3 linked regions of the Tamandua tetradactyla genome follow. The protein of the gene in region 2 purifies or fractionates together with the protein of the main gene of each other region. This does not show direct contact. Links are inferred from orthologs where the notes say so. Each region holds a gene or a part of one and is shown on either strand. Other genes may lie near its edges. The genes, in order: POC1A, CORO1A and IFT57.

Region 1 (11,035 bases), on a different chromosome or scaffold from region 2:
AAACAGAGAAGCCAAAAGAGGCCGCCATGTACATTGCTACATGACAGAGGAGCCAAGGACGAAGGATCGCCAGCAGCCAGCCCTAGAATGCCAGTCTTTGAAGAGAAAGGATGGCATCTATGATGCCTTGATTTGGGTTTTTTTCTGGCCTCAAAACCATGAGCCATTAAATTTCCGTTTTTTAATCAACCCATTGCATGTTATTTATTTCAAAAGCCCAATAAACTAAAACAAACAAGTACAGTGAAAACTAAAAAACATCACTGAAAAAAATTAAAGATAACCCAGATAAATGGAAAGACGTCCCATGCTTGTTGTTCAGAAGACTTTATATCGTCAAGATGGCAATACTCCCCAAATTGATATACAGATTCAACACAATCCCTATCAAAATCCCAGTGGTCTTTTTGGCAGAAGTTGACAAACTAATTCTAAAATTCACATGCAAATGCAAGATACCCAGAATAGCAAAAAAACAATCTTGAAAAAGAACAAGGTTGTAGGGCTCACAACTTCACAAGTTACCACAAAGCTAGAGTAATCAAGACAGTGTGGTATTGGCATAAAGACAGACACAAAGATCAATAGAATAGAATATTGAGAATCCAGAAATAAACACTTATATTTATTACAGCTCAGTGATTTTTGACAAGGGTTCCAAGACAATTCAACAGAGAAAGACTGGTCTTTGCAACAAATAGTGCCAGGGCACTAGGATCTCCCTCATATGAAAGAATGAAGTTGGACCCCACCTCACACCATTTACAAAATTTAACTGAAAATGGATCAAAGATCTAAATATAGGAATTAAAACTGTTAAACTTTTAGAAGAAAACATAGGGGTAAACCTTGGTAGCCCTGGATTAGGCAATAATTTTTTATGTATGACCCCAAAAGCACAAGTGACCAAAAAAAAAAAAAGGACAAACTATACTTCATCAAAATTAAAAATGTTTGTATACCAAAGAACAATATCAGGAAAGTGAAAAAAAAGTGAGGGGTAAAGGGTATGGTATGTATAACCTATTTTTTTTCTGTTATTACTTTATTTCTTTTTCTGTTGTCTTTTTATTTCTTTTTCTGAATTGATGCAAATGTTCTAAGAAATGATGAATATGCAACTATGTGATGATATTGAGAATTACTGAATATATATAGAACAGAATTATATGTTAATGTTTTTGTTTGTTCTTAATTTTTTTAATTAATAAATTTAAAAAAAAAAGAAAAGTGAAAAGACAATCTACCAAATGGGAGGAAATATTTGAAAATCACTGATCTGTTAAGGGTCTAGTATCCAGAATACATAAAAAAAAAACTCAGACCATTCAATCACAAAACAATAAACAATCCAATTAAAAAGTGGGCAAAGGATTTAAATAGACATTTCTCAAAAGACATAAAGATTGCCAAAAAGCACATGCAAAGACGTTCAACATCATTTGTCATTAGGGAAATGCAAATCAAAACCACAATGAGATACTACTTTACACACACTAGCATGACCATAATCAAAAAGAACCAATAATGAGAATGTAAAGAAATTGGAACCCTTACACACTGCTGGTGGAAATGTAAAATGGTGCAGCAATTTGGAAAACAATTTGGCAGTTTCAGAAAAGTTTAAACATTCAGTACCATATGACCTGGCAATTCTACTCTTAAGTATCTACCTAAGAGAACTGAAAATATATGTTCACACAAAAATTTGTATACAAATGTTCATAACAGCATTATTCATAATAGTTCCAAAATAACTGAATGTTTAAACTTTTTTGAAACTGCCAAATTGTTTTCCAAGTTGCTGCACCATTTTACATTTCCACCAGCAGTGTATAAGGGTTCCAATTTCTTTACATTCTCATTATTGGTTCTTTTTTATTATAGTCACAGTAGTGTGTGTGAATTGCACACTACTGTAGTTTTGATTTGCATTTCCCTAATGACAAAGTGGAAATAACCCAAATGTCCATCAATTGATGAATGGATACAAAAAATGTGACATATTCATACAATGGAATATTATTCAACTACAAAAAGTAATGAAGTATTGGAATATGCTCTACATGGATGAACTTGAAAACACTATCCTAAGTGAAAGAAGTCAAACATAAAAGGCCACTTACTGTATGATTCATATGAAATGTCCAGAATAGGCAAATTCAGAGACGAAAAGCAGATTAGTGGGCCAGGGACTTAGGGGAAGGGAGAAATAGGGAATGTTTGCCACTGGGTACTGGGTTTCTCTTTGGGGTAATAAAAATGTTCTGGAATGAGATAGTGGTGACGGTTGCACAATATTGTGTGAATATACTAAAAGCCACTGAACTGTACACTTTTCAAGGGTGAAATTTAAGGTATGTGAATTATATCTCAAAAAAATTATTTTTATAAAATGTCCAGAGAGAGAAAAGCACTGTTTTCAGCACTCCCATCCTCAGGACTCAGATCCCATACCCTCAATACCACCACAGAAGGGCCAGTGAACCCAAAGGTCAGTTCTGGACAGGCTCTCAGTGGCAGAGCTGCCACTCCCCTCCACTCAACATTAGAGAACTAGGGCTGTTTAGGGAAATGCTCGAGAAGATATGGAGAGAACACTGTGGAGACTCTTCATCCAACAGCAGATCGTGTCTCAGCACATGTTATATTCCAGCCCTCTTAACATCTACCCCACGTCCCCTACCCAACCCCCTGCAAACCTCAGAAACCTCAAAGAAGCATCCTGGGGTGCCCTGGGAGCCGAACAAAGCCTTCTCTTGGGAAAGGATGCCCTTGAGGCAGGAGCAAGGCCCCACCACCCCACAGAGTTGTGCCCAGAACAAAGGTCTGGCGACTCTGTGCCCAGTTTCATTCCCAATACACCTGTCTGACTCCCACTTTCAACAACAGGAGACAGTGGCAGCTGGGGAGCCTCCCAACAGAGCAGCACCCACCCCAAAGCTGCCACCTGATCCTCCCAGAAGACCAAGAGTAAGATAGCAGCAGCCTGTAGGTTCAGCGTGCAAAGGCAAGTACAGGTCCATCCCTGAGGAGGGTGCCCCTGAAAAGACTTAACACCCCCTACCCCAATCCCACAGGCTCTGTGTTTCCCTATATGTAAGACTCCTCTTCCCAAGGGATTTAATAACCCTGGAGGTTGTGGGGTTTGTGGGGGGCACAAGACTAGGGGCCAAAAGGTCTGGATCCTGGTCTGGGCCTCTGCCCAAGTTTTCAGACGCCTAGAGGCCATAGGACTCCACCCAGTCTCCTAGACTCTCCAGAAGGCCAGAGGACCAGGCAGGTTCCACGCAACCCAGCAAAAGGAAATGGGCTTTGGAGTGCTCCCCTCTGCCCTCTGAGGGAGACCGGGACTCCGAGACGGTGGCCTGGCTAGGTCACACAGCAGATCTGTGACGGCCCAGGCCATCAGCGGCCAGCTGTGCCCTCAACAAGCACCCATCCGGAAGCCCGCTGCTCACGGCTGACACTGAGGCCAGAGAGGCCCCAGGACACAGCTCGAGCCAGGCTGTGCTGTGACTCCCCCACTAGGATGCAAACCCTGGAAGCAGGAATTGGTGTGTCGTCCCTGTAGGCCCAGGCAAGGAGACTAAGACCGGGAGTCCGCCACCGAGAAGGACTTACCCGGCAGGGGAGGGCCATGGCGCCCGAAGGGCCAGAGGAGCCGGCGGAGGCCGCCGTTGCGGCCAGTTCAGTTTCCGCGCCCCAACCGCCGCCAATAACAACACTGGGCGCTCCGCCACGCCCCGCCCACAGCAATTAAAGGAGAGGCGGTGCAGCAACTTTTTGCCCCCGACCGGAAGCAGAGCAGTATGGCAGGTTCCTTGTTGTACGCGCCCAACTCCGTAAAGCTGGGAAGACCACCGGCGGCGTAAGCAAAGGCCTCTGTCCACAAGCGCTCATTCCTCCTCAGAAATTAAAAAGCCCGGGACGAGACTATTCGCCCCACCGACCCATTGGCCGGCTAACGTGACGGCGAGCGCCGCTTTCTGGGAAGTGTAGTTTCGAGCACCCAGTATCCTTGTATCTGGAGGAAGATGGAACTACGTTTCCCAAGATCCCATGAGATCGGGTCTGGGTTGCCCCAGAAGCAAGAGCCTTAAGGATCCCGGAAGTGGAGGACACGTGAGTCGCTGTGTTTGTATTGCCTTAAAGCACCGTTACGGGCGCGGCTTATGTTTCGCAGAAGACTCTGTTTAGAACAGATTATTCGCCCTTCGGGAACCCTCTTAAACTCTTTAAACCTTCTGAAAGCAATTAAAACAGGGGCGATGTAAAAAAATCTCGAGGCACTCGGAAGCATATACATGTAGTGTACAGAATTAGATTCTAATCACAGCTCTTGCCCTGATTCACTATGTGACATCAGGAAAAACTCCTCTGCTATCTGGGTCTCTCAGTTTCTCCATTTGTAACCTGAGGAAGTGTGATATGACCTAGCCCACTCTGGATGTTTCAGCTTGAGAAATCCGTATAAATTGAATACTTAATAAAAGAGGGCAGGGCCACTGTGGCTCAGCAGACAGAGTTCTCGCCTGCCATGCCGGAAACCCGGTTCGCTTCCCGGTACCTGCCCATGCAAAAAAAAAAGAAAAGAAAAAGAAGGCAATCCAGGAGCCTGTCCACCAGAGGCCGTCCCTACTCACTCCCTGCCCTCCGCAGGTCCAGAGAGTAGGCAGATCTGTGAATCTTTACTCCTTCTCACTCCAAGCATTTTCCCAACAGGTAACTAATCCCCGACCGGATATTTTGCATGATTCGGGAGACTTTCATCACCTCCCCTGGTCAGGCGGGCTTGGCCAAACTCCATCACTGATTAGGATCTGGCCAGGCACTGAGATTTCTTACCTGAGATGGTGTGTGCCTGGACCTGTAAGCCAGAGCTCAGTTCTCTAAACTCAGAAACTGATGGTTTGGGGGTTTGGCCCTGGAAGGTCTAGAGCAGAAAACAGGAAACAGGACTATAACTGTGGTTTGGCATTGAACTGGATACTTTGTTAGAAATGTTTGGGCTACTTTAACTTAGATACTATGAAAGTCCCCTTAAAACAGCCACCAGCTCCCTGGCTCACTCCCATGCACTCTGAAACTGGACAATTTTCAGCATTCCCACCAACATTTGCTTCTGAATCAGTAGTTCTCTTGTCTGCCAGCCAAAGATCTAAGGGAGAAAGTAAAGGAAGAAAATAAAATCTAAATGCAGAATAATCTGTTCATTAAACCTAAGAGTTCTTTTGTGGCTTTTTAAATTTAGTTTTGTTTTGTCAGTTTTATTAGTGGAACACACCTAGTCTATGGGAGCTTGCAATTTATAAATTGAATTTAGAATAACTCTTCCATAGATGATTTTCAAATGTCAGGCTTACTCAAAGAAACACTGCAAGATTTTACTCACTGTGGTAGTTCGATTCAGTTGTCAACTTGGTCAGGTGAAGATGCCTAGTTATATTGCTGTGAACGTGAGCCGATGGCATGTGAACATCATCTGTTCCTGATTACATCTGCAGTCGGCTAGGAGGCGTACCTGCTGCAATGAATGATGTTTGATTTAATTGGTTGGTGCTTAAATGAGAGAGCTCAAGGTAGCACAACCCAAGCAGCTCAGCATACCTCATCTCAGCACTCTCAGCTCAGCCCAGGCCCTTGGAGATGAAGAAAAAAATCACCCTGGGGAAAGTTGTTGGAACCCAGAGGCCTGGAGAGAAGGCCAGCAGAGATCACCCTTTGCCTTCCCACCTAAGAACCTCAGTTGAAAGTTAGCTGCCTTTCCTCTGAAGAACTAATGTAATAAATCCCCCTTTATTAAGAGTCAATCCATCTCTGGTGTGTAGCATTCCAGCAGCTAGCAAACTAGAACACTCACCTTTCCTAGTCTTTCCTTCCTAGTCTTTACCCACCACTGGAGATGCCCCAACCACTCTTGTTCATTTCTTTGCCAAAATCTGCAAAGAAGTCCATTCTGACAATGCTACACAGACAACCATGGATACAACCTACACAAGCCAAGATTGGTACCTTCACTTTCTGACTAGGCAGGGCCCCGTTCCCCTCCACCTCTATTAGATTGATTCCAGTTTGCCTGGGGCCTCCATGTTGGGGAAATCCTTTGGGAGGAGGAGTTGGAAGGAGTTTCTTTTTCAAGCCCCCCTCTGGCAGGGCTGTATCCATCCCAGTGCAATGTCTCCTTCAAGAGCCCTCCTTAATCCAGTATGACCTCATCTTAACTTGATTACATCTGCTAGGACCCTATCTCCAAATAGATCGCATTCCCAGGTTGCCAGTGGACATGAATTCAATGTGGTACAGGTCTGGTGACAGGACTGAATATGGCATGTCTGGGGAACAAGGACAAAGGTGGGGTAAGAAGTAAAAACAGATTGTGAGGCCACAAATGTAAACAGGATTCCTGGGAATCAGCCCAAAAAGGTCAGGGAGCCACATGTTCTGTCCTAGGGTTGATATGAGCCGAAAGAGTGTTTTCTCCTCCACTCCCCACCATGGATGAGGCTGTGGGCACCAGGCCCACTTTTTATAGGAATGACCCCTTCAGATGCCCCTTCTTAGGGAGTCCCACTTGCAAACTTGGACCTCAGTGGCACCCACTGTGGAATTGATGTGCCTCTGCAGGTTGACTTTCTCTAAGGGCAGGGCATACCTCAGAGCAGGGAGAGGTCCAGTAGGGCCATAAACCTTCAACCCTGCCCTTTTCCATGCGTATTGCCAATAGCATTGGCCCCTCTGGTCTGAAGCCTATGTTTCAGTGACCTAAAGTCACTTTATGTAAGTGTCTAGTTTGGGTCCACCCTCTGATGTTGAAAACAATGAGTAACATAACTGGAGTTACTGTGGTGATTCTGGGGGCATTGTTGTCCATGGGTCCAGGATTCACTGGGACTAATTTCTAGGAAATGTGAGGACGCTGAGCTGGTTTCTCAGGCAAATCAGATGGGTAAGTCTTTGAGTGCTGAGTCCTCCTACCCACATCCCATGACCATGACCCTGAGCAGGTCCACAAGAGAGGCTGAGCCACTGTTTCATCCTGTCCAGGTAGAAGGGCAGCTCAGCTGTGATAAGGGAGCAAATCCTGCAAAGCTGAGGGTGAGGGCATGGTACAAACACAAGAAGTTTGAACTCAAAGCTGAGCTCCTCCTGGTAGATAATACAGGTGGAGCTTGAAAGCAGCGGTTCTCAGCTCTGCTTGCCATTCAGAACCTCTGTAGTGGAGCCCAGTATTCAGTGTTTTTTTTTTTTTGAACACTCCCCTGGTGAGTCTGGCAGACAGTTAGGGCTGGGAACCACTGATCTAGACCAGCATCGTACAAAAAAACTTTCCTTGATGATGAAAATGTCCTCTCTGCACTGTCCAATATTGTAGCACTCATCACATGTGACTGCCAAACACTTGAAATGTGGCTAGTATGGCTGAGGATGTGACTTTTAAATTTTATTTACTTTTAATTAATTTATAATTAAATTTAAACAACCAGGTTGTGACTAGTGGGTACAGAACTGGACAGTGTAGCTGTAAGCTGTGGACAGGCCCATGGCTTTGGGCAGGTCACCGAGGCTCCAGGACTTCAGTCTCCTCATGGGGCTGTGGGGGGCATGATGTCCAATCTATGGTAGCTGTGGTGATGCTTTGTGCCTTGGGCACTTGTATTAGTTTCTTGTGGCTGCTGTAACAAGTGGCTACAAAGCTAGTAGCTTAAAACGACATAAATGTATTCTCTCACAATTCTGGAGGCTAGAAGTCTGAAACCAAATGTCAGCAGGGCTATGAGCTATCTGAGCCTCTAGGGGGAAGATCCTTCCTTACTTCTTCTAGCTGCTGGTGACCCCCAGGCATTCCTTGGCTTGTGACAGCAAAACTCCGATCTCTGCCTCCATCTTCTCCGTGTTTCTGTGTGTCTAATCCAATCTGACCTCTTCTTCACTTAGTTACCCCTACAATGACCCTGTTTCTAAGTTAGGTCACCTTCACAGGTACCAAGGGTTAGGACTTGAACATGTCATTCTAGGGGGACACAATTCAACCCATCACAGCCCCACTGTCCAGTTGAGGTGAGTTTGGAGACACAATCCCAACCTGGGGACCCAGAGCAAGACAGAAGCAAGCAAGTCACAGCAGCTTGTGCCCTGTGGCAGATCTGTACCAGCTGCCCCCAGAGGGTTAGCTGCCCCAGAGACCAGAGGATAATCAGATTTCCCTCCCCTAGGAACCCCTAAATTGTGGTATGATGAACTGGCCTGGGACAGTGAAATAACTAACATCTTTCATTTGCTTCAGAGACACTGTACACTAAATACCACGTGAAATCTTAACTGAAACTCCAGAGGTGTTGGAGTATTATGTTCATATTACTGATGTGGAAACTGAGGTACAGAGTTAGTAAATGGGGAGCCAGGATTAGAACCCATATCTCTCTTTCTGCACAACGTGTACCCTTCATTCTAATGCATACAGGAAGATGGACTGAAAAGCCTTGAATGGTGCCGACCCCGATAGGACTTGATATCCTCAAGACTTTCACCCTCCACAGCGGAGATGAGGGCAGAAACTGTCCCAAAGTGTTCAAGCCCACACTAAAAAGTCCTTGGTGTCTTGTAGTTTATCTCTTAAACTGTCAGGTAAGTTCTGTACCTACTCCATTTTACAGCCACTTCTTTTTAATATCAAATTGGTGTTCTAATGATAAATGCAGTTGACTTGAAGTAGAGCTGATGATCAGGAAGATGCCCCTATTTATCTTGTGGTTTCATGTTCCGCTCATCATCATGCACCAGTTTGAGAAGGTAGGTGTCGTTGTTTGCCAGGCGGCTGTAACAAAACCATACATTGGCTCAAACAATGGCTCATGGTTTGAGAGGCTAGATGTCGAAAATCAAGGCATCAGCAAAGCCATGCTTTCTCCCCCAAATCACTAGCATTCTGGTGCTGGCATGCAGCAGTCCTTGGGGTTCCTTGGCTTAAATCTCTGCTTCCCGTCACATGGGGGTCTCCCTCTGTCTGGCCTGGCCTTCCCCTGGGACATCACTTGGCTCCTTGTGAATGTCACCCCCTCAGAGGTCCTCCTTCAGCCCTCCCCAGGCATCCTCTCATACCTCCATCCTCCTACTCAGGTCCTATCTCTACCAAAAATTATGGTGTCTGCTTATATGGTCTTCACTCATCGTCCATCTCTCCTGATTGGGAGCTTCATGAGGGCAGGGGCCACGCTGTGCTGATCACTGCCAGGGTCTAGACACTCAGACTTGTCTGATGAATCAATCCCTGGAATCACCAGACCTGGAAGGCACCAGAAAATATTCCTCCCAGGGTTCCCAGAGATGCTCATACTCAGGGAGGAGCTTTCTATGAAATCGAGGACAGGCCATTTAAGTCCACAAGTATTTGTAGAGTGCCAACCCTCGGCCCTGTGCTGAGATCACCAAGCATTTGTGGATTGCCAGGTGTGTACCAGCCCCTTTGCCCAGCTTAGTCGGGGAGAAAGGCTGACTAACTCCTGAGTCCCTGCCCTAGGGCAGCCAGAGAGGGAAGGAGCCAGCTCTGCCACTAAGCAGGTTGAGCTCAGCAAGTGTTCCCGGAAGGAGTCAAGTTCAGTACTGAGAGAGGTGCTCTGTTGGTAGGATGGGGATTTTGGGGAGGAGGAGAAGGCATTTGTGGGGGACTTGAGGGACAAGCAAGTATTCCACAGTGACATGGTGCCCCGGAAGGGAGAAGTGTGGGATAAAGGAGACACACCATTTTTCCAGGGTGAGGCAGGCAGTGACAGGCCTGCCTAGTGTGGGCTCACCTCCACTGCCTCCTTGTCCACCTGTCAGCTCTGCTGCCCGCCCTCAGGGAACGTCTCTAAGGTGCAAGAGGCTTGCTCAGGTGGAAAAGGCCTACCTATGGTGAGTCATCCTAGGGTCCCAGGTAGGCTTGTCCCCACAAGTCACTTACACACTCAGGGCCAGGGCAGCCACCCTATACGGGCAGGAAAACTGAGTTCCAGATTGGAGAGCGAATGCATTGTCTGGTCCTGGACAAGAGGGAAGGGGGCTTGGTGTAAATGTGGGGTAATGACGTTTGTCAACCTCCCTGGGGATTGCCATAAGCTCTTTTACCTAAAGCCCATCTGTGACTCCCTATGCCCTTGGGATAAGGCCGGACTCCCAGGAGTGCCCTTCACAGCCCACCTGGTCTGCTACTGCTGCTTCTCTAATCTCAACTTGCAGCCACACACTAGGACCACCTGATGGGCCAGAACTTTCCTCCTTGTATCTTTTCTACCCTGTTCCCTCTGCCTAGGGGACTCCTTTTTCCAGGCGCCTTGGGGGAAATCCTACCCTTCAGTCTTGGTTCAAATGCCTCTCCGTGCCCAGAAGGCACAGAACGGATGGCCTTCCTGTGGCCCTCAGACCCTGTCAGCCAATGCTCCCTTGCAGATGGCTACCGGGGCTGGATCTTATTCTATCTGAGGATCCATGCGCTCCTGGAGGTAGGGTCCTGTCAAGTTCATCTTGGTCACCGCTCTTGATCATATGGAACGGATGGAAGTGTGTTCACAGCTGTGTGTACATATGCATGTCCGTGTGTATGAGTGTGGCTGTGGCTGTGTCTGTGTGTGCATACCTGCCTACCTTCTATGTGTGTCTCTGTGCCTGTGCCTCTTAGTTTGGGTCCCCCAGAGGCAGACCCTGAGGAAGGATTCGAGTATAATACGTTTATTTGGGAGGTGATTCTAGGTAACACCAGAAGTGAGGTAGGGAAGTGAGACACAGACAGGGAAGAGAAGATGGACTAGTAAAGAGTGAGTTATTGAGCAAGTGACCACTGTGGGTGACCACGGCCAGACCCAGTGGGGACTCTGGGACACGTTCTAGAACAAGCCTTAGAGACATCCCACCTGAGAGGTGAGGAGTGAAGAGCTTTATTCACCTAGTCTCGACAGCCAAAGGGAGAGAGTAATTCCCTGGCACTCTGGCCTGCCCTACACACAGGAGCAGAGAAAGCCCTTGGTCACAGGGTCTCCAGTATTGTTGGAAGTCGTTT
Region 2 (10,887 bases):
GGGCCGGGGCTCAGTCACCTGGCGATCTCACACTTGTTCACCTCCAGGCCACGTTTGGGCATGTAGCCCATGCCACGCTGGGACTCCTTGGAGCTGAACATGGACAGATAATGCAGGAATGGGGCTTCGGAAGTGATCTCAAAGTACCGGATAGAGCTGTCACCCTGCAGACAGTGGGTGCAAAAGACGATCAATACCAAAAGATGCCTCCAGCTGGGGTCCCCTCCAAGCCCCTCCTGCCTGCCTCCCCCCAACCTCAGCCTGACTGGGCCACCTTGCCACAGAGGTAGACAATGTTGGTATCAGGGTCAAAGAAGGGCAGAAGGACGCCACTGCTTGTGTCCAGCTCCTGCAGAGACAGAGGCTCCTCCAGGTGCTTCTGCAGAGATAGGAAGAGAGCACTGAGCTGGGCTATGCCAGGCACTGGGGTGGTGACCTTCAGAAGGCAGTGACCCTCACTTCAGTGTCAACCCATGAGAGTCCTCGAAGATGAACCAGCTAAATCCTCATCTCGCAAATAGGTAAAGTGAGGCCCCAGGCCATGCAGCCAGGGAGGTGGCCAGGTAGGGAGTAAACCTCCAGCCTTTGGATCTGCAGCCCAGGGCTCCTCCCTCCCACAAGGCCTCTTGCTTGTGTGGGCTTGGCACTTACTGTGTCCCATAGTGCCACCTGCCGCTCGCTCATGCGGCTGAAGCCTGTGGTCAGGATCTTCCCATCAGACGCAAACACAGCATGCACAGGCCGGGTCCCCTCGTGGGGACGGTCCTTCTCCTGGAAGGAAAAGGGAGGGAGTAGGTCTGGCCAGACCCCCGGTGGGGCGAGAGAGGATGGCCTCCAGGGGCCTGCTGGATGGTGGGTAAGTCCTCAGGTCAGGGGTGAAGGTTCCTAGCAACTCACAGCTACCACAGTGCCTTTGCGGGGCTCGATGATGCGCACGCGCTTGTCACGACAGGAGGTACAGATGAGCGCACCGTCCCGGCTCCAGTCCACGCTGTAGATTGTGTCCGGGTGCACGTCTGGGCCCAGCGTCAGCATGGCCACCCCCGTGCCCACGTCCCACACCAGGATCATGTTGTCACAGCCTGGACAAGGCCCCCATGTCAGAACCCATCTGGGTCAGGCCCCCCACCACCAGCCCTGGACCCCAGTCCCCAGTCCCCAGTCCCCATGGCACCTGCACTGAGCAGCACATTCTGGGCGGTAGGATGCCAGGCCACAATGCCCACGCGCTTCATGTGGCCCTCCAAGGTGACAACAGGCTCCCGCAGGGGCAGCGTCAGGCCCCCATCAGGGATCTCCCACACCTGCCGAGAAGGGTCTAGTGAGTCTTTGGGGCTCCAACCTCCCTATCCCTGCCCACAGCCTCCCCCCTGGCCCCTGGGTCCCCATTGCCACTTACCATAACTGTGCAGTCCTCGGAGCCACTGGCAATAACGTTGTCATTGTGCGGGCACCAGGCGATGTCCAGCACAGGGGCTGTGTGTCCACAGACTGTGGGCACATTCTTGTCCACACGTCCAGTCTGGAGGGCACAGCAGGGCCTTGAGAGGGATGCTTTTGCCTTCCAAACCCGGTCTTAACTTCCCACCCACAGACGTGTGGAGCAGAAGGCTGTGGGGTCCCTTGGATCTGAACCAGGGCCTGGCTGGTGAGAGTTGGCCCCTCTGTTTGCCAATCCCAGAGCCATCAGGGCCTGCCCTGGAGGGCTGCCCACAGGTAGCAGAGTTGGGGATATGGGGCTGCAATGGTTCCTGGTCCTGCCAGTCTCTACCTCAGTTTCTCATCTGGGCCCTGTGAGTCGGCATCAGTTGGGCTCTTGGGTCTCCTGCTGCCAGAGTGAGGCTTTCATGGGCAATACAGGCCAAGGCAATGGAGCAGGGATGGATGGGGTGGGGGCTGGTTGAATCAGGGCTTTCCAGGAAAGTGGGTGTGAATGGCTGGGTTCAGGGAAGGGGCCTTCCAAAAGGAGAAAGACCAGGGAACTTTGTCATAACTGGCCCCCAGGCAGGAGCAGAGGTTTGGAAATAGCCTCTTCCGGGGACAACTGCCGCAGCAGGGCTTCCTGTGTGGAGGGCAGTGCGGGGTGCCGGCCCAGCTCCCACCCCGACAACCACTTCCTCTTCTCTTGGCCTCTTTCGGCCCTTTTAAGGTAACAACCTAGAGCCCATCTCCCCTTCCTGTCTCACCCCCTAAAGAACACAAGAGTGTGTTGGAGGAGGGGGTCAGCAGACTGCAATGGGTGGGGGTGGGGGTGGGAGAGCAGGACCAGGGGGAGGGCAGGCCTGGGGGAGGGGAGAAGGCCTCTTGCCTCATCCCTGCCTGTGAACTGGGGCCAGCGCTTGCTTGTCCTCAAGGGCTCAGCCTGGTCTTTCAGGTAGGGTCCCTCCCAGCTCCCAAGAAGCCTGCCCTCTCTGTGTTCTCCAGACTGAGGCTTGGTAGGCACGGTCCTGCGTTCGCCCGGACTCACTATGTGACCCTTTTCATGTCATCTCCCCATTCTGAGCCTCAGTTTCCATTTAACCACCACATGGAAGAGCAGGAGGAAACTTCAGGCTCACCTGGCCCAGCCCCATTTTGATGACAAGACTGAGGTCCCGAGAAGCTTGGTGGCAACCACCCACTTAGGAATCCAGGGGGCCACTGCTGGCCGGAGGCCCCCTTGGGGGAAGGAGCTACTGCACCCAGGGCTCCAGGCCTCACCTTGCCTAGGGGCAGGACCAGGAAGGCACCTCCCCCACTGGCCTCACAGATCAGGGCCACGAACTTGGGGTTGACGGCGCAGAAGCCGCTGTCCCAGGTGGTCTGTGAGACGCGCACGTCTTCATAACACTGGTCGGCCTTGGCTGGCTGTCCAAACACATGGCGGAACTTGCTGGAGCGGACCACCTGCCGGCTCATCCTGGGGACATACGGATTGGGGCCTTTTATCCCTTTAGGCCAACTCTGACATCACAACGGCCCCACCTCCCCACGACACCCCTCAGTCTGGCCCTGAAGGCCTCGGCTCACTTCCCCAGCATCATCTCCCAGGGCTCCGGGCCCCTAACTCTCCTCCCTAACAGACATCCCACTCCCCCACTGCTCACCCTCCTCAACCCCTGCTCACTCCTGTCTAGCCCGGAAGGCCCACCAGCTCTGTCCACTCCAGGCCACTCTAACCCACCCACCCCCGTTTCTGTGCCCTCAGCCTGCGCTGCAGAGCCTGGAGGGGGTAGGCACTAAGGCACTAAGGCACTAGCGCACACTGTTGACTGATGGGTGGATGGATGCAGAGCCCTTTCTTTCTCATTCAGATTCGGGGGCTGTCAGCCCAGGCAGTGTGGAGGCCGGGTTCTCACACTGTTCCAGTGAGCAGCCCTCACATCCCTCGAGCCCACGCGGGGAGCTCCCTGTAGGCAGACGCTGGCCCTCCCTCGCCTCCTGGCACAGGGCTGGACATGCAGGAGGAAGAGGCACGAGGGCCTGCCCAGGAGGGAATGAGGCAGGATGGCTTCCCCAGGAGGTCTCTGGGCACCAAAACCAGGCGGATGGCTGCTGTCCCAGTATCGCCTCCTCCCCCACACTCTGCCTCTCGCCTCCGCTCGGGAAAAGCAGGTGCTCTGAAGTGCCATATCCAGCCCATCAGAGCTCTCTACACAGGAGGGAGCAGCTGACATCTCAGGTCCAGCTAGGATGGCTTTCCCCAACTGGGGCTGGGTGGAGAGCAAGAGAAGCCAAGGGGAGTGCTTCTAGCTCTCCCAAGCTCCAGAGGCCCATCCTGGTGCCCAACTTTCCTTCCCAGCAAAGGGGCCTCCCCAGAGACTCTGCCCCACAACCCCAGCTGTAACTTCAGGCCTGTCCTTGTCCCACTGGGGGCTCCTGCCTGCTTGCCCACCCTGTGACCCCTGAGAGGGCCCCAGGTCTGCCTGCCTAGAAAGCGGAGTGAGGAGCCCTGTGAAAGGAGCAGTGTGGGGGTGGGAGCCAGTCCCAGGTGAGAGGCCTGGGTCTTAGGGATAGGGGAGCCCCAAATCAAGAGGCTGGGGGACAGGAAGCCATCACCCCACCCCGCCTCCTCCCCCACCGCAGGTACCAGGCCCGGAAACCACAGAATGGGGAACTTGATCTTTTCTTGTTTTGCTCTCAACCCCTTCCTGTCTCCAAGCTCAGGGCAGCTGCTGTGCTCACCCCACCCTGCCCACCCCAAGACTCCCATTTTGGGGACAGTCAGTGCCTGACATGAGTCCCGCACCCCTCTGGCTAATACTGACGCCCCTCCCAGCTTCCCCATCTCCATCTTGGCTGTGCCGGGCCTTCACTCTCAGTTTTTCAACGCACCCTCGGACAGACAGATGGACAGTCACGTGTTCGCACCCCACCCTGTTCAGGGACGGTCCCCTCACGGCTGGCACGAGGGCCGGGCTCCCTCTGCTCATCTCAGCGCCCGGCTCAGCCAGGCCGGCGGGCCCCACAGGTGGCCCAAGGCAGGATGCCGGGTCTCCCGGGCCAGCTCCCCCGCACCCCACTCGGCTCCGCCCAGGGGCCTCAGCCTTACCTGCCGCTGAGAGATGACAGCGACCCCCCAAATGGAGGAGAAAGAGGAGCAGGAGGAGGAGGAAGAGGAGGAGAAGGAGGAGAAGGTGGAGGAGGAGAAGGAGGACGGAGCTGGCGGCCCTGGAGACTCGCCCGCTGAGGATGCTCTTGTCAAGACAATGAATGAGCCAAGGCCGTCCGCCCGCCTCCTCGGGTGGCCGCGCCCCTTGGGGGCGGGGCTCCTGCGGGGTCTCGCCGGCTCCCTCCCCAGGGCCCCGCCCGCCAGCCCGGCCCCGACAGAGCCCGCACCCTCCCTTTCCTCCCTATGGGAGAAGCTCCTCGCCTTTCGCTGCCAATTCCAGACCAAAGCAGATGCTGCTGCCGGCCGGGCCCCGGGAGTCGCGCGCGCGCGTGTGTGTCTTAATGTCAAAAATGCGAAAATATCCTGTTCTCCTTCCCACCTTCAGTCCCCTCGCAGCCTCCTCTCCATCCTTTACCCTGGCATTCGTGCACGCTCCCTGCAGGCCGCGCCTCAGGCCTTTGCACCAGCCCCCATGCTCCCCCCCAACGCACGGGAAGAAGGGAAAGTCACGGTCGGACGTGAACTCACGAGAACCCACGGAGTTCTTGTTCAGACTCCCGGAGACACTTAACCTCTCTGGGTTTGATTCTTCACCTGGGAGCACCTTTGCCTTGCCTGCTTCACAGGGTTATGGTGGGGAACAAATGAAGTAATTTGAAGTTATGGAGCCCCTACTTTGTGCAAGGGCCTACGAGAGCTGAAGGAGTCAGGTTCCTGCCCTTAAAATGTTCTCAGGCTAAATGCAAATCAAAACCACAATGAGACGCAACTTCACCCACTAGAATGGCTAGTATTAACAAAACGGAAAGCAGCAAGTGCTGACAAGGATGCAGAAAAATAGGAACCTCAGTACATCGTTGGTGGGAATGGAAAATGGTGCAGACCCTGTGAAAAAACTGCTTAGTGGTTCCTCAAAAGTTAAACAGAATTACTGTATGACCTGGCAATCCCATTTCTAGCACAAAATAATTGAAAACAGAGACTCAGACGTATTTGTAAACCAATATTCACAGCCACATTGTTCACAATAGCCAAGAGGTAGAAGCTACCCAAATGTCCACTAGCCGATGGATGGATGGACAGACAAAATGTGGTATATCCATACAATGGAATATTATTCAGCCCTAAAAAAGAAATGAGGTTCCAATACATGTGATTGCATGGATGAACCCTGAAGACATTATGATGAGTGAAATAAGTCAAGCACAAAGAGACAGATATTGTATGATTATACTTATATTAAATAGCTAGAATATGCAATACGTAGAGACAGAAATTGGAGTACTGGTTACTGACGAGGGGTGAAGGGGAACGGGGAGTGAGTGCATAATGGATATAGGGTTTCTGTTAATGGGTATACAGGTGATGGGAAATTGCTGCTAATGGATGGTGGTGAGGGTAGCTTAACATCATGAATGTGACTAATCCTTCTAGTGGTATGCTTGGGACTGGTGGAAATGGGAATGTTTATGTTGTATGTATGTGACCACAATTAAAAAATAAAAGGATGCAATATATAAAAACTAGGCTTTACAATGAGGATTTATTGAAAGTATAGTTGTAGGCCATGAAAATGCCCCCAATTAAGGCATTAAAATATGATACCTGGACTCTGAAGAAAGGCCAGCATCTGGGACACCTCTGTCACATGGGAAGGCATGTGGCCGACATCTGCTGGTCCTTCACTCCTGGGCTTTACAGCTTTCTGCTTCTGAATCCAGTGGGTTTCTCTCTGAGCATCTGTTGTTCTGCTCGGCATCTCTGGGGACATGCTCCCTCTGTAAACTCTCTCCAAATGTTTTTTTTTCCTTCTCTTTTATCCCCATAAAGGACTCCAGTAAAGGATTAAGACCCACCTTGAATTGAGTGCATCACACCTCAATTGAAATAATCTAGTCAAAATCCCACCCACAATAGGGCTACACCCACAGGAATGGATTAAAAGAACGTGGCCTTCTCTTGGGGGTGCGTAACAGCTTGGAACCAACTGATGGATAGGTAAGTAAAATGTGGTATTATAGAATACCACAATGCAATACTGTTCTGCCATAAAAAGGAATGAAGTCCTGATACATGTGAGAAATTGGATGAACCTTGAAGACATTGAGTGAAATAAGCCAAAAACAAAAGGACAAATATTGTACAATCTTAGTGATTTAAAATATTTAACATAAGAAAACTCATATTCAGAATCTGTACTGTAGTTTACCATGGTTTTGATGGCTGTAGAGAATGGGAAATTAAGACTTAAAACATATGAGGTTCTTATTTGAAAGCTGGGAAATATTTTGGTAGTGGTTGATGATTATGGTACCAAAGCATTGTGAATGTAATTAACAACAATGAAATGGATATCTGTATGTGATTAATGGGATATCCTAGATTGTATATGTGCTAACAGTAAAAAAAAAAAAAATTAAAAGCTAGAAAGGGAGGTTTCATCACCTCTTTTGAAATTCTGAATAATTTTTGAATTATAACCAACTACAGGGTATACAAAAATGTGTTGAATCATCACTCAGATCAACCAAAGTAAAATTTTGCCATTTTACTTCATGCTTTTAAATAAAAACAAATAATGCATTAATAACAGACAAGCACAGTGCATACAAAAGATGAGAGATTAGTAAAAATATATATTAATAAAAAAAGAAATGGCTACTAAAGACATCACTAATTGCAAACAATGAAGGAATTGTGACAAATATAAATTTTAGACAACTTTGATTTTTGAGCAAAAGTAAGTCATAATATAGTGATTTTATGGACAGGACATAGGAAAAGTTGAATTTTCATATGAATTCAAAATGTACATGAAAAGAATGCACATTTTAATATTTGAATAAATTATTGAACGGTGATAAACTAGTGAGAAGTTAGCATTTTACTTCTAAAACAGAGGTTGAACTTTACCTTACCCTTACAAAAATAATCGAAGAAAATGGTAAAAAATAATTCTAGAAAGAAAACCTTAATATACATTAAAGGAATGCATGTTATTTAAATGCAAAATAATATATCTAAAAAGCATTAAATGAAAAATAATCAAATACTTGGAAAATGGAGAAAGCATACTTTCTTATATATACATTAAACAGAACGAAAAATAAAACTACAACTGCAGGTGACGTTGAAGAATTTTTATAGGAAATTTTAGCATCCTACCTGATTAAATTTATGGGCTGTTACAAAATTCGGATTCATTTTCAAACCTTGGTGTTAATCTAGAAATCAGGATAAAAGAAATGTTTTTTTTAAAAGTCATATCAAATTAAACAAAGAAACATGAATTATTGAAGCTTCTTAACACTTCACAGAATGGTAGGATTTTCAAATCAAATTCTTAGCATGTAGACCTTTAAAAGATATTGGTCCATGTAAAGAGTTAACCTCTTTGTTTCAGGGTGCTAAAGCAGCCAAAATGCAATATAGCAGAAATGGGTTGGCTTTTAACAGGGAGATTTCTGAGTTTACAAATTTACATGTCTAAGGCCTTAAAAGTATCCAAATATGGAGTCTAGAGAAAGATACCTTCTCTGAAGATAGGCTTACTGGCATCCAATGTTCCTCTGTCACGGGGGAAGGTACATGGATTGTGCCTGCTGGTGCTTCTGTCCTGGGATTTGTTCTTTTTAACTCCTGGTATCAGTGGCATTCTCTCTGAAAATCTGTGGGTCCTTGGCCTCTCCAGGGCATTTCTCTCTAAGCTCTCTCTCAACATTTGTCTTTTATTTTCTCACAAAAGACACTGTTAGAAAAGGATTAAAGCCAACTTGAATGGGGTACATGACAACTTCAAACCAGCACCTCATGACTTTATAAAACTTCATGTCTTATAGCATTGCTAGGTGAGGTTCTTTTATTTCAGTCATGTACCAAGAAAATATACATATCCTAAATTTAAATTACAGAGAAATTACCAAAGTTTATAATGATGAGTGGAAACCAAAAACTGCATGACTGTGTGATTATGAAGACCTTATGACAGACGATCCTTTTTACAGTGTATAGAAAGTTGAGCAAGAAAGAAAAGAAAAAATGAATAATTGAATAATAGGTGTGATTGGGTGTACAGAATGTTTAGGATGTTCTTTGTTACTCTTATATTAATTTTTATTTTTTATAATTTTGAGTAATGAAAATGTTCAAAAATCAATTGTGATGATGAATGCACAACTATATGATGATATTGTGAACCATTGTACACTTTATATGATTATATAGTATGTGAAGATATATTTCAATAAAACTGTATTAAAAAAATAAAATAAAACGAGTGACTAAAGAGACAAAGACAATTAAATGCAACACATGATCCTGAATGGGATCTAATAATGGAGGAGAAAATGCCCAAAAGGACAATATTGGGGCATATGTACCTTTTCGACAGATGAGTAAAACATATGGATTAAAATTAAATAATAGGGGGAACAAATGTTAAAATAATTTTAGTAGATTGAATGCTAGTGATCAATGAAAGGGAGGGGTAAGGGGTATGGTATGTACACATTTTTTTCCATTTTCTTTTTATTTCTTTTTTTGAATTGATACAAATGTTCTAAGGAATAATCATGATGATGAATATACAACTATGTGATTGTATTAGTTAGGGTTCTCTAGAGAAACAGAATCAACAGGGAACACTTGCAAATATAAAATTTATGAAAGTGTCTCACGTGACCGTAGGAACGCAGAGTCCAAAATCCACAGGGCAGGCTGCGAAGCCGATGACTCCAATGGATGGCCTGGATGAACTCCACAGGAGAGGCTCACCAGCCAAAGCAAGAATGCAACCTGTCTTCTCTGAGTCCTCCTTAAAAGGCTTCCCATGATTGCATTTAGCATCACTAATTGCAGAAGACACTCCCCTTTGACTGATTACAAATGGAATCAGCTGTGGATGTAGCTAACGTGATCATGACCTAATCCTATGAAATGACCTAATCCTATGAAATGTCCTCATTGCAACAGACAGGCCAGCGCTTGCCCAATCAGATGAACAGGTACCACAACTTGGCCAAGTTGACACCTGTCCCTAACCATGACAGTCCACCCCTTGTCAACTTGGCACCTATATATATATATCACCTTAGACCATACTTAATTTCCAAATGAAAACAAATAAGCACACATTTTTTCTTTTACCTGACAATACTCAACTGTCCTGCATATAACTGGAAACACATTAAATCTCTCCAGAATAGGGTGCAAATCCTTGGGCAACATTCGTTCTTAAACTTGATATCTTACAACTTAAATAGTATAACACAAACAAAACAGCATTACAGTCCTCGTTTCTGTAACTGATCACGTGGTCGAAGTTCATATTTATCACTACCTTCTTCCACTACCCATTCCATGTTCCCTTTCCCCTCAGCAAGCACTTCAGCTGGCCGTGGTTCTTTGCCTGGTGGGGTGACCCAAACCTTCATTCCTGAAGTTTCAGAGCCATTAGTAGTCCTGCCTGGATTGGGTTGTTGCAGTTTTCCATTGATTTTAATCACAGGGCATGGTAGTACTAATAGACGCCCCAGGGGATCTCCTATATTCCAAGAAAACTCTTCTTTACCTCCATTATGTAGTTGCAGTCCTACTTCCTTCTGATAGTCAGGGTCAATTACCCCAGACAATAATGTAATCCCCTTCTTGGTGTGTTGATCCAGAGGCATAAGTAGCCCAAAGTGGCCAGGTGGCAATCTTAACTTCCAGTTCAGTGGTATCACTGTTGTTTCTCCTGGAGAAAGCACACCCCGTTTTGGAACTAAAACCTGTAGACCAGCAGAACTCAGGGTAGCAGGGACAGGAAGCAAAAATTTTCCTAGTGGATCACTAGGAGTAATAGTGAGTGGCACCACACCCATTTCCACCCCTTGGTTCCTGGACCCATGGATCCTGGCTATGGGAGAAACAGCACCATACAGCGGACGCTGATTCAGAGCATACACAGCTTCCTGGAGAACATTACCCCAGCCTTTCAAGTTTTTGCCACCTAGTTGGCACCGTAATTGAGTTTTCAAAAGGCCATTCCACCGTTCTATCAATCCAGCTGCTTCTGGATGATGGGGAACATGGTAAGACCAGAGAATTCCATGAGCATGTGCCCATTCCCGCACTTCATTTGCTGTGAAGTGTGTTCCTTGATCCGAAGCAATGCTATGGGGAATACCATGACGATGGATAAGGCATTCTGTAAGCCCACAGATAGTAGTTTTGGCAGAAGCATTGCATGCAGGGAAAGCAAATCCATATCCAGAGTATGTGTCTATTCCTGTTAGAACAAATCACTGCCCCTTCCA
Region 3 (10,735 bases), on a different chromosome or scaffold from region 2:
CTGTATAATGTGTTCCACATTCTCTAACCTGACGATAATCTCTACCGTCAAAGGACCAAATTCATGTATTTTCAAATTATAATCTATATAAATTGATAATCTAGGATATTTTATTTCCTCATCCATGTGTCTCACATTTACTAAGCAACTGTGATACACCAAGCACTCTGCTAATTGCCATATAGTACATATGAAGACTTTATTATTTCTAGCAAGAAAGCCAGGCCTACAAATTATTTTAATACCAAGATAAATACAATATTATAGAAACATTAACAGAGCACTATCAGACCAGAGAAAGAAGTAATGAACAACATCTAGGAGAGTGTCAGATGGCTACTTCAGTATTATTCTTGCCCAGTCATTGTAAGCAAAGGGGAAAATCCCATTTAAAACACTATATCCATTTCCATTTTTCCCTTAAATCTGCAGCTATCCATTACCCCCATGTATATACTATGCCTATATGTCTAAATAAATACATACACAAGACTTTTTTAAATGTTCCTAAATTGACAAGGGTATACAGTTACAGTTAAATCTTTGATAAGTATACATTTGAACAAGGAAGGAGCACAATAATATACATCGCCAGAACTGGTTTTGAAGACACGGGATATTTCAATTTTGTCTTTGACTTTTCTTAATCACCTGAGGGCATTTTCAATTTAGAACAGTCAAGAGGAAATCACTTTCAATTCAAGTAAAAAGTTCTGAACACTTAGAAGAAGACGCTATTACTATAAGTAGGCTGGGTAGTGTTTACCTTTTCCAGGTGAAACCAATATATTTTAATGTTTCTTCTGCTAAACAGTCAAGAACATAGCATACATGTTCTCCATAACCTGACTTTAATTTTGAAGGAGGAAAATCTGCAGTTCTTCCCTGAAATACAAAAGATAAACAGGGTATTATTTTTATTATATTCTAAATGCCAAAACATTTTAAGCAAAGAACAGCTGAAGAGATACATCCCTTACCATTTTTCAAATATGATTTAAACTGTAATTACATTGTATCTTAAAAATCCACCTATTTGTTCCTTTATTTTTAATCTACAGATAAATTTAAAAACTAAGGAAACAGACATTTTATTGTCAAAGTATCAAATTAAAAGGCAATAACCTCCTGCCTGGCAGAATAAATCACTGATCCTCTTGGGCTGAAAAAAATCAGTGAAACTATTCACTTGGTATCACATCATTAAACAACCACATGAAGGGCAGAGTGATTCACTTGTCAAAAATGAGTAACATATGAGACAAAAATATCTCACTGCCTGTCCTCAGGAAAGTCAGAAATGAAAAGCACAACTTTTATTATGGTCTAGTAAATCACAGTTCTCTTTTAAAATACAGTGTTTCAGCTTCCTAGCTGTTTTTTGTTTTTTTTTTAATTTCTTAAAGGAAGAACTAAGCACCCATTAATTTACTTTAAGACATTTCAAAACTAAGAAAAAACATTATTTTGGGCAATAATGAGTGTATACTGAACAATTTTTAGAAGTGGTATAAAATGAATATCAAGCATTCTGAGAAGGTTTTATCTGAAAGTAAATTAAGATGTAGCTACATATATTCAGAGAGAATTCATCGAAGCATCTAGCATTTATATTGTGGAATCACCAATATTAAAGTTCATAACTTGAGAACGTGCAGAAAGAAAAGAGTTGTTTACACTTACAAATGATCGAAGCTCAGATAATATGTTAGATATTGTTGCATTAGGGTCATCATATTCTTGAGGCTGCTCAAAGGGATGTCCTGCTTTGTTAATCAACCAAGCAGCAAGAGTGCAAAACATGTAGAACTGTTCACCAGGGTTGGTAGGCAGGGCAAAATAGTGTCTGTTTCAAAACAAGGGGGTTGGGGAGAGAAGTAGCATATGAAATAATGCAAACAAGTCTGTGGTACCTAAAGACGCTCAGTCCAAATCTGCCAAAGGACCCTTTCCATTTTTCAAATGGCCTTAAAATCAAAAGACACTAATATTTCACCCCTTAAAGTTTCCAGTAATCCACAGCACTCACATTAAAACTTTTAACAAATAGGATTAGGGCAATTACTACTGTACATAAAATATTACCTCAAAGACCTTATATCTAGAAAATGTAGTGTATGTGGAAGTTTTGCCAAAATCATTTAAGCTGTTAGAAATAATAAGAGAGTGCCTCCTGAAAATGGTAATCTGGAAACAGGAAACTCAGAGTTATTAAAAACACATTAATGACCACTCACAATAAATTTTTACTTTTTAACATGCCATTAATATCTTTGCATGAATCCAGAACTTCTGGGAATGGAGCCCAGTATGAGTCTATTTTAAAAGCTCCCAAGATGGTTCTATGGTATACCGAGGATTTAAAAAACCAGAGTAACACATCTCCATTCTAACAAATATTGTTAACTTTTGTTAAATCATCTAGCCTACTAAAAAAATTCTTATGAGGATCAGTATGATTTATACCTAAACATGTTAAGAATAAAACTTGCAAGCAATAGCATTCAAGTCAGTCTGAACAAAGATCTTATCCTGCTTTTTTCACTTAAAGGTATTACTATTATGTTTATGTTGTATTAATAGCTATTCTCACCATTTGTCATAAGAATTAATGGTTTATTTCTTCATGTTTCCCAAACTTTCTCCTGCAGGATAAATAAATGTTCTTGAAAATAACAAAAAGCTGAGAAAGAAGGAAAGGCCCTGCAGCCCTTTCAGATATAGGCTCAGGACCCTTTCAAAGCACCCACTTACCAATAACTCATCTTTTCCTTTTCAGCCGATTACCCCTCCAGGACAGTAGAAACTGATATACCAACAAAGAGGAAGGATAGTGGTTCTCAAATCTTGAAGTACATAAGAATCACCAAAAAGGCTTTTAAAAACACAAAATGCTAACACCTATTTCTGATACTGTAGATTGGGGAATGGGCCTGAGAAATTGCATTTCCAGTGAGTTTCTAAGTGATGCTGATGCTACTGGTCTGGTGACCACACTTTTAGAACCACTGAGCCAGCATATCTTCATTTGTATTCATGACTCAAAGTATCTTGCTGAACTCCTGAGGAAAGAGTACAGAGCTTGATATCAACAGAACCTTGAGGTCATTTTCATTTAGTTTGAAAAATATATTGGGAAAAAGGTAACGAATTTTTATTAACATAGAAAATGTAAGTTGTCTATATTATCCTGATCAATTCATGCTAACTCCTCATCTAACAGGTTCTATCATGGATCAAGCAATACTACTTTTTCCTCCTCCAATTTTTCTGACATTATGGATTGATTTAGCAATATGGACAGTTTACATAAGTCTACATAGTATGCTATTAAATTATTAGAAAAGAGCAGAGGAATGAAATTAAAACTTCGAGGAAAATTACTTTAACCTAGTTACAAACTTTAAAAGAAAATGCTCAGTCTTCTTAATCTAAATTGCCTCTTATACAAAATAAACAAATGTAGTCCCTATAAAACTCATTTGACTATAGCTGGACTATGTTAATTGGAGGAGAAAGTGCTGCTATCCATTACTCTCAAGCAAGAAATGGTACTATCATCAAGGAAAGATAAACTTTTCCCCAGTAGGAACAAGGGCAGAACCTTAGGTTCTACCAGGAGACAATTTCAATATTTTGTCATTTCTTTCTGCTTCCCACTTCTTAGTTTCTGAGAGTACCTTTATTGCAAAGGCAGAAGAAGTTCTTTTAAACCATAGCAATTAGTCAACAAGTTTACATATAAAGTACTCAGCAAGTCTGAGGTACCTGCAGTTGCCAGTTGTATGGAAAGGTCCTCGCAGAGGAAATTAAAAGACTAGAAATAGAGCTAAATAACAGTGCTCCTTCCTGAGGATAAGATTACGGATGACTTTAGTATTTTTCTGCACAATTTTGTGTTTTTCTAAGCTTTCTACAATGGGTATTTTTATTACTTTTATAATCAGAAAATACAGTCTGTGTTTTGTGACAAGTGTACATTTTAGAGAATAGGCTAGCTGTCTTCTAGTCCCTCTGACATTCCAAAACTTGTTTCCTCTCTCTACAAAAATACCAAGTCTGAACTCTGTGGGCTCCACAACAGTGTCGCTGAGTTTGGGGTAAGCTGCCCTTCCCCGACTAGGAAGATGGAGGAAAGTGCTTTCTAACCCGTGCTCGGCGTTCCCCAGTAGGACGCGGGAAGGCATCTCCCCCAGGATCAGCTAGGACCCAGGCGCTCAGGGACGAGTGGACCCACCTGGACGGGGGCTTCAGGTTGTTCTTCCGGAGGAGCTCCTCCTCATAGTGGAGCAGCTTCAGCTTCTCCACTAGGTCCTCCATCACTACGAACATGTGGTAGGCCGCGCCGGGCCCCCGCTCCACGACCATTTCTCCAGCCCCTTCGCTGCGGGTCCGAGACACTGTATCCTCCAAACCTGTCGGTGTGACGACTGCAGCGGCCGCAGCCATCGCAGAGCAGACAGAAGGACGCCGGCGGGGCCTCCAGCCCACAGACCTCCCGGGCCTCCACCGCCTGCGCTGCCACAACCAAAACACCCGCGACCCGTTACCAGGCGACCCGCCGGGCAACCCGTCACCAAGGAAACTAGGCTCCGCCTCTTTCCTGGGCCCTCTGTTTCCCTTCTAAATTCCCTCCAATCACAGAGGGCCTCCGAATGACGTCACCGTGAACCCCGCCCCTCACCTTGCGGAGGATGTGGCTGGGAGGCTGGCCCGCCCTTCTTGGAGGCGTGGCTTCCGCTCCCGGCTTCAGCCTGCTCAGCCTCCAGCAGCCGCTTAAAAGCAAAGGAGGGGGATGCTAGCAATCTGCTTAGCTTCTCTCGCTGGACGGGGTTGCAGGGTTGGTGTATGGATCTGTTGGTAGCTAAGTTAAAAACATTGAAGGGAAATGAAGACATGCAGTAGTGAAGGCTACGCTAATCCACTGAAACCTAGTTTTTTCTTCTTAAAATTGAAAATTTTCAGTTATAAAGATAGTCAATAGCGTGGATTTTACTTTACCTCAGAAACTACAACAAGGAGTTTTTGTTTGTTGTAACCTAATCTTTTCTCCCTCTCGTTGGTAGTGCTTTACTTATTTAACACTATATTATAAAGCGTGAAGAATTCCAATTCCTTTCTCTTGTTCAGTGCTAGGAAAGGGATTGGTTGGGGAACAGGTAGGGAAGTAGAAACTGAAAAGCAAAAAGGAGGCCCCTCAGGCAGGATTTGCTCCATTTCAAAAAAGAACATTTAGCTCCTATCTTGCTCCTTAATGTATTTCAAACCCGTCTCACATAGTATAAAGTTCTGGGAAGCCCTGTTAAAACGAACAAAATGAAGGAGACAATTAGCTTGAAAGGAATTCCAAACGCCTGAGTGTGCTTAAAGACCAGGTGTTATTCAATAATGTATTTTGCTGCTATTGTCTTAGAAAATGCAAAAAGGGGACATCACTGACCACAGCTGTGGCCCAGATCTACGGTTCTCAAGACTGTGAATCAAGCAGCTTTCCTAACAACTGCGTAAGAGGGAGGTAGCTGGGAGAAGAAAAATTAAGACAAATGCTCAAATATATGTTTTGTCTTTAATGTGATTTTTGAGGCTCTCTTATCTCTTATATATGCCACTAAAGAATATAGAAATCACATTTTTTGACATAACTGAAGTTTGCGATGGGCCTGTAGTATCTTTGTATTTTTGTTTAAAAAATGGGCAAAAGTCTGTTCTCATTTTAATATCTGTCTAGAACTAACTTATTTTTGGTAGCTATAAAGGTATCAGTAAAATTAGAAAGCAAATCTCATCAAAAAGGGGAAACACACATCATTGTAGACTAATCCAAAAGGGAAAGGCATTGAGAAATGTTTTTTAATTAAACAGCATTGCCTCCCTGCTATAAGTCATTAACCAGTTGTCTTCAATAAAGATAAGTGGGAAAATTGTGTTTGGCTCCACACCATTGTCAAATTAATATTTCCTTTTCATAACCTTCACAAACAGTGATTTCCCCCCTTTTCCTTAAGTCTCCACTCCACCTTCTGTGAGTGTGTGGGTGTATGTATGTTTGGGGAAGAGACATCTGCATAACTTTCTGAGTACAAGATAGCTTGTTAGGATGGAAAATAAACTCCAAAGCTCAGATGATTTGGGGTGCTTGCTTAATCAACAAGCAACCTGTAGCTTTTTTTAATACGTAAGTATCAGACTTTGTAGGGTAAATTGGTTATGCCCAAGAAGATCGTCATTGATGCAGGGCACCCTGCTTACTTAAAAAGTTCTGACATTTCCAGGATCTTATATAGTATGCAGTGTGAAATATAATCAAGTGTTGCTTTTTTGGGGTGACAAGAAATCCTCCAAAAATGATGTATTTTGGGGGAAAAACTTGTAAAACCTAGCCATCCCCTTCCCATGTCTGACTCAGCCTAACCTGGAATCATTGTGAAGAATTATCTTGTAACTGTTGTGGAAAAGAAAGGATAGAGGTGAGGGGAAAACGAATGAAATATAGTGTCCTCAGTAATTGTGGCAGAGAGAAAGAAGTGAAGCTTAGCTTTTCAACACTGCATGTTTTCTCACAGCAAAAAGATTGGAAAGCAACACTGAAATGTCAATTCCTTTTCATAAGACCCACAAATTATTTTTACTGATTCCTTGGTTACCCTCAATAGTTGGTAACACTGAGAGGTCTTTTCCTTGACGTAATTACTTTCCTTCATTGGAGAGAATGCACTCAAATCCCCTTCTAGCTGTCAGCCTCTTAGAAACTTTGGGATACATTTGTGTTAACTTTTGCAGGACTAGCTGATTTGTGGAGGAAGGAATTAGGTGGGGCTTGATGAGAATGAATATGTTGACACTACTTTTAAAGAATCTTAAGGGAGATCTATCCCTGGCTCTACTCTGTTGATCTCAATTAATAGCAGGCTTCTGATTTTGACTTTATCTCTTGCAAACTATCTATTAAATAAACAGAGATAGTTTTTGAGACCCTTAAGGTCTTTTTGTGAATTGGTTAATCTCTGAAAACTGAGTAGCGTTACATTCAAAGCTGTTTTAAGCCAAGTGGATTTCCCTGAAAGCTAGGGGTGAAGAGGAGGCAGGTTCAAAGATGGAGGAAGGCTATCAAGCTGCATCTCCAAATGTTCGAAAAAGTCTTCAAGAAGATCGGGCGGCCGTAAAGGACAAAGCAGCTTTGTCATAAAGTGGCTCAGTACCACCCATTCATGATTTTTAAAAATTTAGAAAGCCACATAGAATAAAATTCCTTACACTAATAGATTCATAAAGCTAAGTGTTTGACTAAAAATCCTAGGGGGAAAAATCATTTAAATGTGAAGGATTAGAAGTGAATCCTTCTAAAACCAACTGAGGATGAAGACATCTACTCTTCAGAACTGTACTAGAAATCAGTCAGTACCTTGAGACAAGAAAACTGGAGCAAGTATTGCAAAATGTAGAAACCATTACAGGTGATGGATTGACAAAGTAAAAAATCCGAGAATCTACAGAAACCTATTAAAAGACAACTTAGCAAGTTTACTATAGATGAGATCCGAACAGAAAAAGCTGATGGAAATAGCAGTTAGCAAGCAAACAAACAAAACCTTCAATAAAAAAAATGACATCATACCCCAGGAGTAAATTTATCATTATCTTTATGGAGAAATCAATAAACTTCTACATTCATGGAAAAATCTAAAGAACCTAATGCTCAAAGATAGGAAATGAGTCACCATATCAAATTGCAAGATTCCAATAAAAGTAGAACCTAAAATAAAGATCCTGGAAACAGTATCTGACAGTTGGTGTTGCCAAATAATAGAGAAAGATGAACTACTTGATAGATGTTGAAGCCTTGTTATGGACTATCCGTATGGAAACAATTATCTCTGATTCTTATCACACAAATTACAGATGGATTAAAGGTATAAATGTAAAATACTTGTAGAATATTTAGAAGAAAACATATTAAAACATTTTTAACCCTAGGGTAGGAAAGGATCTTTTGAAAGAAATAAAGAACAAATTTTAAAGAATAGAGAAACTCATGCACATCAATTTAAGAACTTAGGTACAACAAAGAACTCTAAACAGTGAAGATATTTATAACCCATATAATGTCAGTGGATTAGTTTCTAGGATGCACAAAGGTCATAGGTTGCTCAAAGCCTTTGTGCTAAGCTGAGGGGTTTAGTTGTATTCTTTCAGATCAGAGTTTCTCAACTTCTGCACTATTGAAATTTTAGGCTAATAAGTTTAGGGAGTCTGTTTTTTGCATTTTAGATGTTTAGCAGCACCCCTGGCCTTTACCCACTAGATGCCAGTTATGAGAACCCCCAAAATACCTCTAAACATTGCCAAATGGCTCCTTGTAGGGCCAATAACCACTGTTTGAGTATCACTGTTTTGGATGAATGGGTCAAAATCTCAAGTGTCTTTATAAGGTCTGAGTATGTAAATGTGACATGTGAAGGGGACTATGGTGAACTAGAAAGGTCATGTACCATCTCAAGGAGGGGACCATCATTTCAGGCAGCAATGCAGTCCAATTTTGCCATGTATTCTGATTTTACAAGGATCTGAATCTGGATTTTTGTGACAGTGTGACATCCTAATGCTCTTGAGGGTGGCTTTGCACAGAAAACACTATTTCAGGCGCTTAGTTGTTAAAGGTATTTGATTAAAACATTAAAGTTTAAAACTAAGAAGCCTAGTTCTTTAGTTTGATATTAAAATCTTATTCAATTTATAAATGTGTTTGCTACAGTCAATTTTTTTTTTTTTTACATTGTTTATAAAATTATTTTAAGCATTCTGTCTGACAAACCATTCCAGGTACGAAGTCTAAAAGCTTAAAAAAGGACAGGGTGTTGTGTGTGTGTGTGTATATGCGTGCATGCATATGCTAGGTTCTATTGTGTATTTCAATACTATGTATAAACCTAGCTTCAATTTAAAACAAAATCTATGTCAATTACTCAATTACACATTATAAATCGGAGTTATAAGTTGGTCTTTTTCTCTAATAGGCCAAATTTTCAACCATGGATATTTAAATATCAAACTCATTCTTTAACATATTGTATCTTTTTATGAATTCATCATTGCTGTACTTAGTGTTGCAACTTTGAGGGTTAAAATATACTCACCCACCTAAGGAATCAATGATCATGAAAACTTCAGTGAAGTTTTCCATCCAATGTATAGAAAGATTCCTGGGCCAGATGTAGAATAATTCTTGTTCAAAACACCAATGGAACATCCTAAGACCTAACTTAGAAAAGGAAGTGGTTTTGCAGTTCATGCCCTGGACTTCTGATTCCTAGTTCTTTTCTACTAGAAAAAAAGTTGTTTAATCCCACCAAGATTATAGTTGACTGCTTCAGCTAACTTTGGCTCTCATGGCAAGTACCATTCAATGATATTCTATATATCTCAAAGCTTTGCCTGGCTCCATGGGTTTGTTTTCTTGATGAGCAAAAGGTGTGGGAGAAATAAAATGTATGTGTGAACTGCCTTCAGTTTACTGCCTCCGTGTAGGTGATGGGATGACTATTAACAGACTTTAAGTAGGTATGTATATTCTGGGAGGATGTGATCAAATTTGTATCTTTGAGTGTTCTGGCAATATTGTAGAGGAGGGACTATGGGAAGGTGAAAAGTGATGGAAAAGCTATTTGAATAGTCAGGTGAAAGAAAGTCCTGAACAGAGATGGGTGGCAATGGGAATGACAAGAAACTGCTAGCTCTAGGAAGTAGATCAGCATAAATTAGTAACTGGCCCCATAACAAGTGCTCCGGAGCATGCATGGCACCTGTTCTAGTTTGTTAGCTGCTGGAAAGTGATATACCAGAAACAGAATGGCTTTTTAAAAGGAGTAATTTATTAAGTTGCTAGTTGACAGTTCTAAGACTGAAAAAATGTCCCAATTAAAGAAAGTCTATAAAAATGTTCAATCTAAGGCATCAGGAAAAGATACCTTAGTTCAAGAAGGCTGATGAAATTCAGGGTTTCTCTCAACTGGAAAGGTGCATGGCGAACATGGTGGCATCTCCTTGCTTTCTCTCCAGGCTTCTTATTTCATGACACTCTCCCGGGGGCATATTCCTTCTTCATCTCCAAAGGTCTCTGGTTGCCTGCATTCTGGCTCTTGTCATTCTTGTTACCGTGTCATGGCTCTGTTCTCTCAGAATCTTGTTATTCTGAAGGTTTCTCCAAAATGCTTCCACTTTTAAAGGATTCCAATAAACTAATCAAGACCAATGCGGAATGGGTGGAGCCACATCTTCATGGAGATAATCTAATCAAACTCATCCTCTCCAAGTACTTGGGGGGGGTCAGTTCTCGTGGCTGAGGTTTTTTGACTTTAAACTTTAGTTTCCATACTTCTGCTTCTGAAGTTATTTTACCAAGACATTATTCCTTTTCTGAGCCCCCCAGGCCGGACTGGCAGTGGCTCCATTTATACAGGTCCCACAACACTCTTTTTTGGCTTCCTAAGTAGTAAGCAAGGATTGTGCCCAGCAGACAGCAGGAGTTTCCACAAATCCTTCCTGGATAACTCCATTTGCAATCCTGGCTTTCTCTGAAATGGCTGACTAGGTCCACATTTGATTAAATCCTCAGGTGCAGCACCAATTTCTTGGGTCTCCCTTCCTGGAACCCCAGAATTTTCCAGAACATCAATTTCTGGTTTCTCTGTACCCAAGAGTTCAGTTCTTGGCTTATCTCTTTTCTGTCACATTTAAC

What was found.
Region 1: the proteins of CORO1A (region 2) and POC1A purify together in Homo sapiens (affinity purification with mass spectrometry; 3 studies listed by BioGRID and IntAct, counting the BioPlex papers as one, with this or other methods). This does not show direct contact. The link is inferred for Tamandua tetradactyla from reciprocal best matches to the Homo sapiens genes CORO1A and POC1A.
Region 3: the proteins of CORO1A (region 2) and IFT57 purify together in Homo sapiens (affinity purification with mass spectrometry; 3 studies listed by BioGRID and IntAct, counting the BioPlex papers as one, with this or other methods). This does not show direct contact. The link is inferred for Tamandua tetradactyla from reciprocal best matches to the Homo sapiens genes CORO1A and IFT57.

The regions. Positions count from the first base shown.
Region 1 is NC_135341.1:33,700,264-33,711,298, reverse strand, and holds the start of POC1A (POC1 centriolar protein homolog A), read right to left. Parts: upstream 4,073-11,035; 5' UTR 3,643-4,072; coding exon 3,541-3,642; exon of another isoform or gene 3,233-3,540; intron 1-3,232.
Region 2 is NC_135349.1:24,730,154-24,741,040, reverse strand, and holds the start of CORO1A (coronin-1A), read right to left. Parts: upstream 4,702-10,887; 5' UTR 4,532-4,701; intron 2,900-4,531; 5' UTR 2,899-2,899; coding exon 2,701-2,898; intron 1,523-2,700; coding exon 1,400-1,522; intron 1,305-1,399; coding exon 1,175-1,304; intron 1,083-1,174; coding exon 898-1,082; intron 772-897; coding exon 652-771; intron 380-651; coding exon 275-379; intron 165-274; coding exon 19-164; intron 1-18. UniProt on the Homo sapiens protein: May be a crucial component of the cytoskeleton of highly motile cells, functioning both in the invagination of large pieces of plasma membrane, as well as in forming protrusions of the plasma membrane involved in cell locomotion.
Region 3 is NC_135336.1:38,854,165-38,864,899, reverse strand, and holds the start of IFT57 (intraflagellar transport protein 57 homolog), read right to left. Parts: upstream 4,574-10,735; 5' UTR 4,450-4,573; coding exon 4,238-4,449; intron 1,847-4,237; coding exon 1,684-1,846; intron 886-1,683; coding exon 767-885; intron 1-766. UniProt on the Homo sapiens protein: Required for the formation of cilia. Plays an indirect role in sonic hedgehog signaling, cilia being required for all activity of the hedgehog pathway.